Rhinolophus ferrumequinum: one gene and its partners. The protein of the gene in region 3 interacts with the protein of the main gene of each other region in a pairwise test. Links are inferred from orthologs where the notes say so. Each region holds a gene or a part of one and is shown on either strand. Other genes may lie near its edges. The genes, in order: MAPKBP1, LONRF1 and ADAMTSL4.

Region 1 (5,060 bases), on a different chromosome or scaffold from region 3:
TTATCTCATTACACTGTTCTCAGTTGCTCTTCACCTAAATCATCTTAGACAAAGCAGAAACTTGAATTTGCCTTTGCAGCTTCAGCTTCAGATGAGAGTAATTTGGGGAACATTTTCTCTAAGGGGACAAACTAGTATAGTGCTGGACAGGAAATGACCAATGACACTTTGTAAACCCATTTACCTGGCCAGGAGTGAGAAAACCACTAGTGGACACAAACAATCTGGAGCGAATTAGGGACAACTCCAAGATGGAGATGGCAGTTTCTGGGAATGCTGCACACGGGTAAGGACACCAGGTGGCACCATTTATTAGTGTTATGTTGGCTCCTACCCCTATTGAGATAAAAATCACAAACTAGCAAGTTGAAAGAGCCAACCCCCTATATCATACTGTGGTGCCTAATGGCTCTTGCCTCCTTCGTCCACATTTGGGAAATATGAAAATTCCACTTTTCGTTACATCTGCAGTGCATGGTTGAAGGAAAGGGGATACCTCATGCCACTGATAGCTATTGCTAGTCTTATATTTTTTGCTCCAAAAGACGTACTAGAGCTGATCGTCTGGCTAGGTCTTATTTTCGGGGAAACACGGTACAATACACACAAGCACAAAGCTGTTTGCCACTTGGCTGTACAAGACATGCACAGCAATGGGTTTAGGGGTCCTTCCCTCTTGCTAACATCCCCCAGGGGTTCCAAGGATCTAGGTAGGGTGAGACAGTTACATCGCTGTACTATTTCTCTGGGCCGCAGTGTTTTGGCTTAGGCTAACCTTTTCATAAGGTAATTTCTTGAAGTAGCGAAGAGGCAGAAAATCAGGCTTAGAAAATAAATTCTTAGGCTGTGACACCTGTGAAATAATACTGTAAACGCGCCCCCAACCCCCGTAAGCTAGAAAAACTATACCACTAAATCTAGTATCAGCAAGCTTGACAGTGACCTCGCTAAAATAGTACTAGGGAAAAGGTTTCACGAGTAAATTTTGACAGGAACAGGAAAAGATCTGGAGCAACAAAGTCCTGTTTAACTGGGTGAGAGAGCGCGGTGGGACATAAGAGACTAAAGAAACCAGGAAACAAATTGTCCCGTAGGCACATTCACTTGTCTTTGCTCTCCCCGATACGCCTAAAGCTCTATTCAAGGCAATCATCTCCCTCCCCTTCATTCCATCATGGCCAATCAGGTTGCCCAGTTAATAACACTTAGCAATCGAAAAAGTTACGCCAGAGAGTCATTTATACGTAGGTTAACGCGCTGCCGAACAACTATTCTAACCGCTTTAAGTCCCAGCACTTGGGGTCGATGGGAGCAGAGACTTATGGCTGTGTCTCAATCTTGTAATTCTGAGCTAGGAGTTAGTTTCAGCTCTGGTCCCTCGGGCCTATCAAATGCCAACTGTGGCACCCTGGGGGCGTGGTACTATCCTTGGGGCCCCGGGGAATGCAGTACTCTGGGGGGCCAGGTCTCATAATACCATAAAAGGCTTGGTTCTTTCAATTCTGAAGCCATGTTCTGTAGATCTTCCTTTAAGAGCGATACCCGCGACTACGTTGTGAGGAATCCGTGGTTTTCGAGTCCCAGGTCCTCAGCTTCCTAGGCGCTTCATTGGCTCCGCCCCCACAGACGTTATTCGTCCACTCTGGGAACGCCCTCCTCGCCTCGGCCCCGCCTACCCAGCCCGTAACTTGGCCCAGGCGGTAGTTCGCGTTTTGAGCCGCTGGTGCCACCATAGCTGCTGCTGCTGCTGTTGCTGCTGCGACTGTGGAGCTGAAATCGCCGAGCGCGATGCCTGAGGGCGCTGTGAGCGGCTCGGCCCTCGGGCCCCGGGGCTGGTGAGGCTGGGTCCGAACGGGGGCGCTGGCGAGTAGCAGGGGCTTCTGAGGGAGGTGAAAAAGAAAGGTGCAGGGCCCCTGTGGGGGGCCGACAGGGAGCTCCAGAGGGTCGTGGGTGGGGGAGGGAGGCTCCCGAGGCAGAGCGGGTTGCGGGGCCACAGCGAGCCCCGTCACGCCGAGTGTCCTCGCGGCCTCCAGCGCAGGTGCCCAGGCCCCCGGAGGGACTCGTCGGTGGCCTCCTTCCTTGGACATTGCAGTTGCCATGGGAGCACTTTGAAATTAACGGTGACCAGACCAGCCATTAGCCCTACTAGATCCCATCCATCCCTCCAGTTTAAACGCCTCTGGCCGGCATGGGCCTGTCATTTCTTTGCAGCTCAGAGTTTTTACCCCCCTTTTCACGGGTCTGTCCTTCAAACGTTGAAAGGAACCGCACAGGGCTTGAAGGTGGGGACGAGGAGAGGGGAAAGGGCAATACCTAGAGATAAGAGCTGCAGACACTGCTAGGCAGAAAGTAAGGTGGCCTCTACCATCCATCTCAGGTCAGTGAGAGGGCATACTGGAAGACCCTTTGGCGTGGAAAGGCAGTGCTGCTGTTGAGACAAGTCCCAAGATTGGGCCAGGTACTGTCATGGCTGTGGAAGGGTCAACCATTACCAGCCGCATCAAGAACCTGCTGCGATCCCCATCCATCAAATTACGCAGGAGTAAGGCAGGAAATCGCCGAGAGGACCTCAGCTCCAAGGTGAGTCCTGGTATGGGGAGCCACTTCTTTCCAATCCTCCCTTCCTCTGCTCCATGTTCCTCTTCTTCCTCTTTCTTGGGAAAGAGGAGTTCTAGAGGCTCCTGTTGGCTCCAAAGGATCAAGTGTGCCTATCTCTGCCTCTCGAGAAAGCAATGATGTCCTTTTAGGTTGAATGAAAAAGAGCAGCAGGGGTGGACATGCTAAGATTTATTCATGAAAAGAGGAACAGGAGAAAGGCAACCTGGATTCAATTGTGGCCTCATGACAAGCTAAGTCTGTGTTTGGGGAAGCTAGTCAATATGCTATGACTCAGTTTCCCTTCCTGGAAGAGGGTAATGGGACCACATGTTTTGTGAAGGACTAAGCTGTGACTAATGTAGCTGCAAGTGTTAGTGTCACAGCGAGGTTATGTAAGACAGTAGTAGCAGAAAGAAATACACTCAAACACTTAGTCTGAGAAATTGGCTTGGCAAATGCTCTTGCCTAGGGTCAAACAAATTTATTTGTCTCTTCAAGAGACGTAAATTAATTTAACTGGAGCTTCTTGGCTTCGTAGGAATGATAACATGCAAGGAGCTAAATACTTGCCTCAAAACAGTTTTCCGGGTTTGCCCTGAACGTTGCGTATCTCATTCTCTATGTGCTAAGAGTCACATCACACCAAGTTGCAGAAGTTCCTCGGAGGCCAAATCCCATTCCATCCCCTCAAGCTGTCTGGGTGTTGGTTTCTTCAACTTTGTTTTCTTCAACTTTGTTTCGCCCAGCATCTTTGGGAATACAAAAGTAGACTAAATTTATTTAATCCCTGAGGGAATCTAGGTCTTTGTTTTCCACAGGATCACGTTAGACTTTTGTGCGTTATTAGCAGCCAGAAAGCACAGTAGCCTTGCGTGGTACAGGATTGCTGTAGGGAGAGGCATTTGAGACAGCAGCATTTGATTGCCTTGCCTGTATCTCTTCAGAGATGAGTTAAGCCAATAAGGAATGACTCAGATGCTAATGTACAACATGGCCGGGTTCTGGAAGGACTTAATTCAGATGCCTGTCCCTTAGCAGAACTTTACTTGGATTTGGTCATAAGGTGAACAACTTTCCTGTATGTTTCATCAGAGGGCATATTAAATCGAAATCAGCCACGAGGATCCGTGGCAGTGGACATAGTGACTTTTCCAAGGACTCCTATTAATTAATCATTGCTCGTATTCTTCAGAGGCAAAAGAATGAGCCTGAAACTCAGAAATGTTCTTAGGTTTGACTCTGTTCACTCATTTGTCGTGTTGGGTCATTCTTAGTACGGCAAGCACTGGTATCCTTGACTGGTGACGTGGCAATGGCTATCACTACGTATTAGAGCAATCTTCTCATAGCTATGGCTTCTTTTTCCGACCCAGAATAGTATAGGTAGTATAAATGTATGATGGGAGTTTAGTCTTCAGTGCTAATCCTTAATGTAATTTTGGTCTGGGATTCAGAAGGTATGGCCACCATTCTTTAAAATTTCCCATGTCATTCATCATTAATTCATTCAACAAATGTTTATTGTGTGCCTATTATGTGTGGAGTCAGGGATGAATAAAACTATCTTTGCCATCAAGGAGCTTGTGGCTGGTCAAGCTTGTAGACAAATAATTACATGATGTGGTAAGTGCTGTCCTAGAAGTATGCAAAAGGTGTTAAAGGCAGCACAGGGGAGGGAACCCAAATCAGCTTTAGGGAATTAGGAAAGACTGCACGGAGGAAGGGATGCTTGAACTGTGAGTCCTGAGGCAAGAGGACAAGAGAGGAAGCTCTCCAGGAAAACAGTGAAAAAAGGCATCCCAGGCATCACCATTAAACAACCGTGTTTCAAATAGGAATTCAGTGCTTCAGATTCTTTAAATGGCTTTGTGTGTCCCAGAGCTGTGAATGAAGGAAATACTTAGCTAAAGTTGAATGACCCTTGAATAGTTTGACAGAGCAAGAGTACTGGTGCATATCTTTAGCACCCAAAAGTAGTAGCTGTCTTTGTGTGCCTAGGACCCTACAGATTCCTGCTTTTCCACACTCCTTCCTGAAGACTCTCTACCTAAGATGATTCTAAAAGCCTGCCTTACGGTAACCCACATAGGACTTGGTGTATAAGGCTTTGTCAGCTGCTCTAATATGTGGTGGCTGTAGGTAATCGTGGTAACTGTCAGAGAGCTTGTGATTCATGGACAACTAACTCTGAAATAAAATTTTAAGGCCAAAAGATCTATGCCTTTTGGGGGGGCAGGAGGGGCAAAGAAGAAGTGACAGAGGGCTTTTATGCAGCTCTTAACCTCAGATGGCCTGCTGCTTTGAATCATACTGTTCCTTCTGTCTAAAGTAGCCTTTTTACCAAATTCTCCACTTATTTTTAGATCCAACTCTATATTTATTGGAGCCACGGGGCCTTCTCTGACCAGCCCCACTACCTTGGAACCAATCTCTTAATTGTTTTTTTATGTATATCGTTATTT
Region 2 (5,060 bases), on a different chromosome or scaffold from region 3:
TCAGAGGGAAATTGTGCAGTACACAAAGGCCACAGAGGCAGTACAGCCTCTTACATAAATAAGTTACATAAATGAGAACCAGTTATGTAAATGTATAAACCAGCAAACATGAATTATTACCATTCACAAACGCCAAGCAGAACACGGCAAGGTTCCTCCTACAGTCCCATTTTTTCCCTCTCCCATTATACTTGTACCATTTTATTTCACACCAGAATCAAATGTGGTTGTCACATTTACTAGGGAAAGAAACTCCAAAGGACAAATGAAACTTTATATTATTTTCTGAACCATACATGACAAAACCTGATTTAAACTGTATTTAATAAGATATGCATGTTCACCAATTTTTCATACTTCTGGTGTAATCATGAACATACTTACTGCTCAGTAATTTACTATTTACTATTGCACATTTTGCAAGCTGCTGTTAAGGACAGGAACGCATCGCAAACGTCAATGTCCACGTACCTAAGGATACCTGTTGTACCACTTATGGTTTCAAGTCTCAGTGAGTATGTGGGCATCTGACTGAAGTCATTCTGCTTATTGAAGGAAGGTAGTAATTTAGGGGGTTAGAATTAGGTTCAAGATTATGCTCATGAATTAATCCCAATATTCCCCACCTCAAATGACTAGAAGTTGCTCCTTGGGTCTTAGCTGTAATTTGCTCGGGGTTTGACGTGAGTGATAAACTTGTTTGCCTCTGCACACTGTTTGGAACAAAAGCCTCAGCTTTTCCTCAGTTAGCTTTTTCCTTGTTCCTTTTGGGACAATATATCTCCATCTCCTCCGAAGTTACACAATTTGCTCATTGTGTAGTAAAAACACATGTAACTCAAAGCACTTTTGAGCGCAATTACCTGTTCTGTATAAAGATGGATATTAAACGTTGGCCGATTTCAGACATAGCATGCTCAGGCTAACATTCCATCTAGCAGCTTATTTTGAAAATCTCATGTAAAATAGTATTTCTAAGCTCTAACATGGTAACATAATAGTAGAATCAGAGTTAGGTGATCTTAAAACCTCTGTATAATATTAGCAATGTGATTTTGGGCAAATAACTTGCCCTCTCTGGGCCATTGTTTCTAACCATTCAAAAAATAACTAAAAGTTCTAAGTCACTTTCCAGCATTAACAATCTAGAACCCTATAATCAGATCTGTAAATATTTCAACTGAGAGCTTTAAACTCACTGCCATAAAGTTTAAAGAAAATATAGAAACGGATCTTTTTTTGTCAGCAGAACTGCAGATTCTGCTTGGGTTCTAGTTATACGGTGATAACTATGTGAAAAGCATTCATCCTGGTGTTTACTCTTCAAAAACGCCAAATATGGGTCTTTGCTAGCTGTAGGGCAGTGAATGAGATGTGGAGGGTAGAACTGACACCTCGGGAACGTGTGGGCTCTCTCCCTTGAGGTGGGGGTGAGTTTTAAACAGCAAAGAAAACAGTAACTTGGCACCACGGAATACTGTCTTGCCCTCTGGAAGGAGTCACCTCAGGAACGTGGGTGGGGTTATATTATTTCTCAAGTTGATCGACTCTAGACCTGAGGAGTCACAAAGTCATCAGACTGACTTTACGCATTCCTAGGCCCTCTACGTGTCTATCTGTAACTTGGGCATAAACTAATGAAAATGCAGATTTGTACCTGACAACCCTGACACTACAGCCGGAGGCTCTCACAAAGGGCGCGGGTCCCAACTCGGGTGGGCGGGGATTTAGGGCTTAGTCCCACGAGGCCAGCCTCTTGGCAGAAGACCGCCGAGGAAGCAGGCATTAGGGGAGAAGCCGTGGCAGGTGGGGGGCTTTCGGCTGCGAAGGGAGGGCGATGAAGGTCTGGGCTCCTTCGGGCTTTGTTCAGTTACAAGCCAGGCCCTTCTTTCGGGGGAAGCCAATTAGATCCCCGCTGGTGGATCATCTGACCTCCTGTCCCTCGCCAGGAGGGGCTTCGGGAGGGGCGGGGCCAGCCAGTCGGCCCCCTGGGGACCCGGCCGGCGGCGGTGCGGGGGAGTCGCGGGTGCTCTAGCGGAGCCCGGCCCCACCCCGCGCACGCCAGGCCCCGCCCCCGGGGCTTCCCGGGCGCGCGCCGCCCCGCCGTGTCCGCGCGCCACGCCCCCCTGCTCGCGGGCCGCGTGCGGAACCGCGCGTCGGGGAGACTCCGGGACCGTGGCGGCGGGCGGCGGCGGCAGAGCAGCCCTCTGCGGGCCATGTCTTCTCCGGCCGTTGCGAGGAGCTCCCCCGGAGGGAGCCGGGAGATGGCCCCCAGGCCGCGGAGCCGAGGCCGGTTCTGGGAATTGGGCGGCGGCAGCGGGGACCGGCTGGAGCGCGCGGCCGCGGAGTCGGAGTGCTGGGAGCTGCTACTCCGCCGCGGCGAGCTGCTGGCTTTGGGCGGCCACCTGAAGGGAGCGCTGGAGGCGTACGCGGCGGCGCTGCGCCGAGGGGCCCCGGTCAGGCCCGAGTGCCTGGGCACCCTGGTGGACTGCCTGGTGCTCAACTACCGGCTCCGCCATGGGCTGGGCTGGAGCGCGACCCCGGCAGCGGGCGCGGACTCCGGCGCCGGTGGGCTGCTCAGCTGCCTGGGCTGCCGGGACTTTCTGAGCGAGCCGGTGACCGTGCCATGTGGCCACAGCTACTGCCGCCGCTGCCTGCGGAGAGAGCTCCGCTCCCGCTGCCGCCTCTGCCGGGACCGGCTGCCACCCGCCGTCACCGCTGCCACTGATGCTGAGGGCACCGCTCCGCGGTCCCCGCCTCTGGCCACCGCCATCGCCACCTCTGGCTTCAGAACCAGCGTCGTCCTCAACCACCTGGCCGAGAAGTGGTTCCCGGGCCAGCGGGAGCGAGCCCGGGCGACCGGCCGGGTCGCAGAGCTGCTGCACCAGGGGCGCTACCGGGAGGCCCTGGCCGCCGCCTGCGAGGCGCTGCGAGCAGGTGACTGCGCGGGGATGCGGCGCGAGCCCGGCCGACCCCACCCTCCTGTCGGGATGGGATAGCTACCCAAGCTCGTCTGTGCCCCCGGGAGGTGTCTCTGCTTCCCCAAGGCTGCCTGACTCCCTTGTGTCGGGTCTCGGGCTCCTCGAGAGTATGGGAGGGGGCGGCGCCCTGGGGTGCTTCGGTCACAATGGGGATCGCCGTCGGAGCCGACTGTGACGCGGCGCGGGGAGGGGCGCACAGGCGCGGGGTTCCCTCGGACGCGGCCTTGCGGTCTGGCGGGCGCCTCCTGAGCGGAGTGGGGGCGAGGGCGCCGGAGCGCGGGATGGGTGGGAGTTGGGCGAGCCGGAGCGGCCGCTCGCTTCCTGCCGCGCTCTTTCCGGTAATTGGCCGCTCCGCAAACGACAGCCGGGGCGGAGAGAGAGGATCCTAGGCGGGCAACGTTTACCTTTGTCTCCCACAAAAGTCACTGGGGCAATTTGGAAGCCGCGGGAGGGCAGAATTGCATAAGCTGTGTGTGTATGGGGGGGGGTGCGTTGTGTAACGGGTGACGTCCGGTGGGCGTGGCGGGAGCTCGGCGCCCGCACCCAGCACCCGGGGGCCCCGCTGGCCACTCGGCTCTGGGCGGGTGTCCGAGCTGCCCAGGGGTGTTCAAGCCTTCCCTGAAAATGCCTGCGGAATTGGTTCCTCTTGATAGTTTCAACCTGCCTATTTGAAATCATACTTATTTCATCAACATATATGTGCTTTGTTTCGAATACACCTAATTCACGGTCCAAGATAAAGAGGTAGTCTCATCGAGTTCTTTGCCACGCTTCTGTTTGCCTTTCCACTCTTGATCAAGTTGTGGGGATAGGCCTTTAGATCTTTTGTCTATTTCTTCACCTCGGAGAAGCAGCTTCGGCCACCTAACCTAGCTTAGCACTTTTCTTAAGGTGGTTTTAGGCTGTGGAAGGGGACATTTCAGACTTACCTATGTAAAATGAAGAATTGTTATTTAAATCGGTTGTTCTCTGCCTGGGGGAGTTTACCCCCCAGGGGACATTATCTGGAACTGTATCTGGAGACATTTTTCATTGCCACCCCTTGTGGGATTGGTGCTGGTACATCCAGTGGGTGGAGGCCAGGGATGCTGTTAAACGTCCTGAAATGCACAGGACTGCCTCCCACACAATCGCCAGGCCCCAAATGTCAACAGTGTCATTGTTAAACCTTGTGTTAAATCAGCGTATTTCAAGCTTAGCATCTATGATGACTTGAAGTAATACTTGGAAAATAATCCCCAAGAAAATAGAAATCTAAAATGTCACGGTTGCTAGCTCCCGGATTGTGAAAGAATTCAAGAGGCACAAAGGAATAGAAGTTACAAAGTTTATTTAAAAAGAGAAACACTGGCAGAGGAGTTGCCAGGGCCAGAGTGTGGAGTAGACCGCTGCCCTGAGTTTCTGTTTAGCTGGGATTTTATACTTTTCTAACCAGGATGTAATTTGCTTGGGCCTGTAGTGGAATCTTCTATTGTGTTCAGCATTGCCTTTTGCCTATTGGGGTGGGGGGAGGTGTGGTTAAACTTGTTATCACAGTCTTTGTTGTGTAAACTTAAGTTAGAGCACCCCCTTAGCCCCCCCCCAGTCAAAAGACTACCCCCTAGGCTGGTTTCTGTTTACCCATACCTGTCTTATAAAATAGAAATTGATGTTAGATATTAGGTAAATTTATAAGCTATGTAACTGAAAGTATTTTTTTTATGGTTCTTTTACTCTAAGTGCTTATTAGACCTTTTTGCTTAGAATATATCAAGTTATTTAACACCTTTAGAGCTCAAAGCATAAACTTGGCATGTTTTCATATTCTTTCACTATTTTTATGGGGATGTTAAACCCAGAACAAAAAAGAACTATTTGGAATACAAAATTCTGATACAGACAACTCTGTGGCTTTGGCTGAACAGATTTTAAGAGGGGTGGTACAGACCATCAAGGCCATGGTCCTTATTTTGAAAGTGAAGAAGCAGGATCTAGGGCAGTGAAATGACTTGTCCAGAGCCCACAGCTAACTGGTTGTAGAGGGAACACTGTATTTTCCTTCCAGTTCTAAATGTTGGAGTACTCATCCTGCCTTTATAG
Region 3 (5,060 bases):
CCTCCCAGTGATCTCCTTTCCCTCGCTTCCAGGGTCAGAGCCATCCGTTCACTCCGGCAACCCACCTCTTACCTGTCCACCAACTTCTCCATCGCTTCTCCTTGACTGCTCCGGGCAAGGGAGGAGGGGACCAGAAGTAAACACACTACTCCAGCATCTGGACGTGTAGGCGTGTGCTCTGGTGATTACCCCTGGTCTCCAGAAAGCTGGGGGTTGGGAGGGGTGACTCCTCAGAAGGAAAGACATCTCGGAATGAGGAGGGTGGGGTGGGGGAAGCCTGGCCCACCCCTTAGGATCCTAAGGGTGAGCGTGAGAGGGACGCGGCCCTTGTCCAGCTGCTGAGGCGAAAGGGTGGGAGTCTCAAGCTTAGTCTCCTCCCCTTGGCCCTGTAGGGACTTCTCAGCTTCTCCCTTATCCAGGTAGGCCAGCTCAGGCACGGGCATCTTTCTTAGGATGGTTTTCATCTGGCCCCCACTCCCGCCCTGCCCTCCCAGAGGACCTGCGAGGAGGAAGAGGGAGGCTCCAGGGAGGACATGCCAGACGCCCCCTCGCCCCCTCAAGGAGCTGACATGAAGCCCCTTGGGCTTTCTGTTGCCTAGCTGCCTCTCAGCCTTTTCTTCCCTGAGCTAAGCTCCTCTGGAACACTCAGGCATCACAAAAGTGCTTCCATCACTTTTTAGCCAAGGGATAAACTAAGTGGGCTGATGCTTAATCTCTAAAGAAGCAGGTGATTTGCCCACTGCGATTTAACCTCCCTTTAGGAGCCAGCATCCAGCCTTGGTTCAACGAGGGCTTATTTCAGGTGCCACTATGATGGACTGGGGGTACCTGGGAAGGAGAGATGCAGCTAGAGCTGCCATCGCTCCCCAACCACAGGCCTAGCATTCTGAAGAGTCCAGAAGTCCATCCTGAAGTCTAGCGTGGATCAGTCAGAGAAGTGGCACTTGGAACCCTCCCCTGGTCTCACAGCCCGATTTGCCCACTGCTTCCCCTTACCCTCCAGCCCCTCCTGCTCAATACCAGCCCTTCCCACCCCCACTTTCATCCATTAGTTCTGCTTTCCAGGAAAAAAAAAATGTTTCTGTTGGATCTGAAAGGCACCCGGGAAAGGAGTCCAGGGAGCCAGTGCCGAGGTGGGCCAGCCCAGGGGCCGGAAAATGACAGAGGGAAGCGCAGGAATGTGCGTGGGGATAGCAACACTCAGCCCCACTCCCCTCCCTGAGACCCCAGGACTTGGGAATTTCGGGGCAGGAGGACAGTGGTTGAACCTGACCCACAGGGTCACCCCAGCTGCTTGCGGTTGGGGAGGGGGTTGCTGATGGCTTCGCCTTCCCCTGGCTGGGCTGACCACTGAGGTCAGCAACCCCGCCCTGATGGGGGCGGTGGAGGGGCTCCAGAGAAGGGCCAAAGTTCCACCCAAACCTTCCACTCTCTGCCTGGCTCAATCACTTGAAGTTGAAGGGGGTGAGGATCACTGCTGGCCCTTTCTCTGCTGCGGGGTCCCCTCGCCACGCCCTTGCTGCTTCCCCAGGTCTGTATCTTGCTGTCTCTCCATGGGTCTACCCAGTACACATAGTCCTGTCCTGAGCTGGGCTTGGCTTTGGCAGTTCCCTGGAGAAGTGAGGGGTGGGGGGTGGGGGTGACGTGAGCTCCTGGGGCCTGGGCCAGGCCTGGCTCTCTCTCTGGAAAAGTCCTACCCCAGCCCCCCTGCACAGCTAGGCAGGGGGCCGACACCCTCTCCAGTGTGGAAACAGGACACATTTTGTGCTTCTCACCCCTTTTCATGTCTCTTATCTGGTGTCTCTCACTGCCCAGGGTGAGGAAAGGGGAGGTCAGAAGTGGTCACCAGTGCCAGGCTGGACACTGGTCAGGACAAACCTGGGCTCCTCCTGGCCACACCTCCACACTGGCCAGTGAAGATCAAGGAGGAGAGACATGGGCAGGGCTAATCCCTTCACCCCCAGAGGGACCCACCTCTGGGAAATAGGAGGCTCTGCTGGGGCAAGGGCTAGACGACACGTTTCTGGCTGGCTGCTGCGGAGAGTCCCTGCCTTGGGTAGGACTCCTTGGTCCTCACTATGCCCTCCACTCCTGGGTCCCGGAGGACCATCCCAACAGGTGTCTTTCCTTCTGCTCATCAGGCTGAGCTGGATCACCGGCACCCACCTGTTGCCCTCTCAGCGCCCCTGTCCCCCAACTCTAGGAGCGACGGGGGTGGAGGCACATATCCTCCAGGGGAGGGCAGGAGGCGCCGGCGCGTGCGGGGAGGTCCTAGGTATGTTTTCCAACTTTACTATGTGACTTAGTAGGAATTTTGGCTGATTCTCATCCCAGATGACAGGGACAGAGTTCCACGGGATCAGAGCCCCCTCCCCAGGAATTTGACCCCAGGGACTGGAAGATCTTCCGAGGCTGTAAGAGCTGGGGCCGGGGTCGTGGCTATGGCGCGACCTGGGGCGCAAGGAGCGGGGGCGGCGCGGGTGCGCGGGGCGGGTGGCCTAACGGGACCCGGGAGAGAGGGCGCCGGGGCCGGGGGTCCCAGGGAGGGTCTGTACCTGCTCTGCGCGGCCCCGGCGGCCCGTTAACCCCTCTGCGCCCGGGCGCTCTCTCGAGTCAGCCTGACTCCGCGGCGGCCACTGCGGCCCCTGAGCCCGGCTCGGGACACTGCCGCCTCCGGCCGCGGCTCCGCCCCCGCCCCGCCCCCGCCCCGCCCGCCACGCGCCCAGCCAGCGCCCCTCCGCGGCCCCCGGGTGGGGGCGGGCCACCCCCAAACCCTCCTCGCCAGGGCCACCCACCCGGGGCTGCGGGCCTTGGTCACCCCTGCGTGCGGGGCGCCTACCGATGGCTCGAGGGGGCGAAACCGGGACGGTCCCAGCCGGTTCGGCGGCAGCCGTCTGCCGGGCACTGCCCTTGGGCCCGTGTGCTGGGCCCACTGGAGTTCGGGACCCCAGGACCCCGGCCTCCGGATCGGCTCCGAGTGGGTGATGCGAACGCCGGGCCAAAAAGTTTGGTGGCGCCTGTCCCGGAGCGACGCGGGCGAGTCCAGGCTCCAGGTGGGGGCTGCGTACCCGGCTGGCATGGTCCCGCGCGACCCCAGACCCGCGTGGGTCAAGGCGCTCTCCTTCACGCAGCCTCTCGCGCTAGCCCGGGCATCCCTGTCTCTCCCAATTTGAGTCGTGCATCGTGCGCTGCTGATGGCTCAGGGACCTCTAGATGAGCCTCGGTTTCTTCACCCATAAAATGTTATACACGGGGCGCAGTGGGACAGATGCGCTGACTCAGCAGTCACGATCTGGATTTGAATCTCAGCTCGAGCACTTACCTGCCAACTCTGGGGGCCCTTCTGTGCTGCAGTTTCCTCATCTGTAAAATGGGGCTAATCTGAGATATACATATATATATATATATATATATATATATATATATATATATACACACACACACACACACACACATACATATATAGTAAGCTTGGAAATGTGTCTATATCCATTCATATTCGGAAGAATGCACCCCAAACTCAGACTATGTGGCCACAGCTGAGGAGAGGTGTGGGGTTGGGGAGGGAAAAAACGGGCTTTCGCACTTTACACTATATGTTTATGTGTTGTTTGAATTTGTAACCATAAGTGTTATTAGTTACGTTTAAAAATAAATAATATATATATATACAATGGCTGGCATAGAGTAGCTAATAAATGGTCACTATTTTTAAATTTTTATCTGCCATTTACTCACGAGCCACAGTCCTGTATTTTCGGATCTACTCAGTATTCCAAAGCTTTTGTTTTGTTCAGTGACTTGTCAATATTTTAAAACCAGGATATTGTATAACTTCTCTTTAAAAATTAAAGACATAGGGGTGGCCGGATGGCTCAGTTGGTTAGAGCAGGAGCTCTGAACATGGTTGCTGGTTCGATTCCCACATGGGCCAGTGAGCTGCGCCCTCCACAACTAGATTGAAGGACGAGTAGGAGCTGATGGGCCCTGGAGAAACACACTGTTCCCCAATAAAATTTTTAAAAAATAAAGACATAAAAACAGAAGTTCTAATCAACGTTGTTCTGCATCCCCATAAAATAACAGGGTTTCAGATGCTCCCACCCAACTAACAGTGAGCACCTTTGGTACTTGGTGGTGAGGCCACAGTTAGATGATAATCTCTGGCCTCGAGGAGCTAGATCTAGCTGGGGACAGACAGCCATGGGCACATAAATACTGGACTCAACATTAGCAAATGTTATCTCTAAGAGATGAGGGAAGTGAAAATATAAAAGCCTTTTAAAATGCAAGAACTGGATCCTTATTTGAAGTTTAACGTGCATATTTTGTTTCCTCAGTAAATCCCTTTTTATAGATTGCATTTGTGTTTTGTTTTTTTGTGGATTTGTAGGATTAAAAGAAATATTTGAATTGGAATGTTATAGAACGGACAAATGAGTCCCAGTGCCCAGGCTTGCTCTCCAGGCTTCTCCAATCAAGCTCAGAGGTGCATAGGCAGGTGGGTAAACTGGCTGGGGACACCCGAGATCCCTGTGATTTTGTGGCAATGCAGGACAATGTTACTAGTGCTTTTATTTTTCTAATTTTGTTTTTCAAGAGAAGTGATAAAATACTGTTTTTAAGATATTGAAAAGTCACGACAACAACAACAAAACTTTTAGACACCAAGGTCAGGTTTGTCTGTAGGCCTCAAGTTTTGCCTCTCCTTAGAACACTCTCAGTCTTGCTGGGTCCTGTGTTTTCAAAGAGGTGAATGCCCCCCTCCCAGGAGGGGTGGTTTATCTAGGGACTGTGGGTGACACACAGTCCTAACCAAGAGGCATATTTATAGTCATGGATTTGGAGCGGGAAGCCCCTTTGCTCAGACCTCAGAGTACAACGCAGGTGACGAAATGCCCAGCCCACAGGGGCACAGAAGATATTTTAGGTCAGGGACCTTTCAGTGCCCTGCAGTCACACCCCAGCGGCATTCTACAAGGAGGCAAGTTGCCGGAAGATGGCCCTGAAGACAGCAGAGTGGGAAGGGAGCCGGGAGGATGGAAACGGTCTGCCTTTGA

Evidence for each region.
Region 1: the proteins of ADAMTSL4 (region 3) and MAPKBP1 interact in binary tests that used the Homo sapiens proteins (3 or more experiments, as listed by UniProt). The two-hybrid records come from large-scale screens. The link is inferred for Rhinolophus ferrumequinum from reciprocal best matches to the Homo sapiens genes ADAMTSL4 and MAPKBP1.
Region 2: the proteins of ADAMTSL4 (region 3) and LONRF1 interact in binary tests that used the Homo sapiens proteins (3 or more experiments, as listed by UniProt). The two-hybrid records come from large-scale screens. The link is inferred for Rhinolophus ferrumequinum from reciprocal best matches to the Homo sapiens genes ADAMTSL4 and LONRF1.

What each region holds. Positions count from the first base shown.
Region 1 is NC_046289.1:63,620,069-63,625,128, reverse strand, and holds the start of MAPKBP1 (mitogen-activated protein kinase-binding protein 1), read left to right. Parts: upstream 1-1,710; 5' UTR 1,711-1,835; intron 1,836-2,377; 5' UTR 2,378-2,466; coding exon 2,467-2,580; intron 2,581-5,060. UniProt on the Homo sapiens protein: Negative regulator of NOD2 function. It down-regulates NOD2-induced processes such as activation of NF-kappa-B signaling, IL8 secretion and antibacterial response. Involved in JNK signaling pathway.
Region 2 is NC_046287.1:69,225,571-69,230,630, reverse strand, and holds the start of LONRF1 (LON peptidase N-terminal domain and RING finger protein 1), read left to right. Parts: upstream 1-2,113; 5' UTR 2,114-2,216; coding exon 2,217-2,937; intron 2,938-5,060.
Region 3 is NC_046305.1:50,815,231-50,820,290, reverse strand, and holds the start of ADAMTSL4 (ADAMTS-like protein 4), read right to left. Parts: upstream 2,661-5,060; 5' UTR 2,556-2,660; intron 230-2,555; exon of another isoform or gene 207-229; 5' UTR 93-206; coding exon 73-92; intron 1-72. UniProt on the Homo sapiens protein: Positive regulation of apoptosis. May facilitate FBN1 microfibril biogenesis.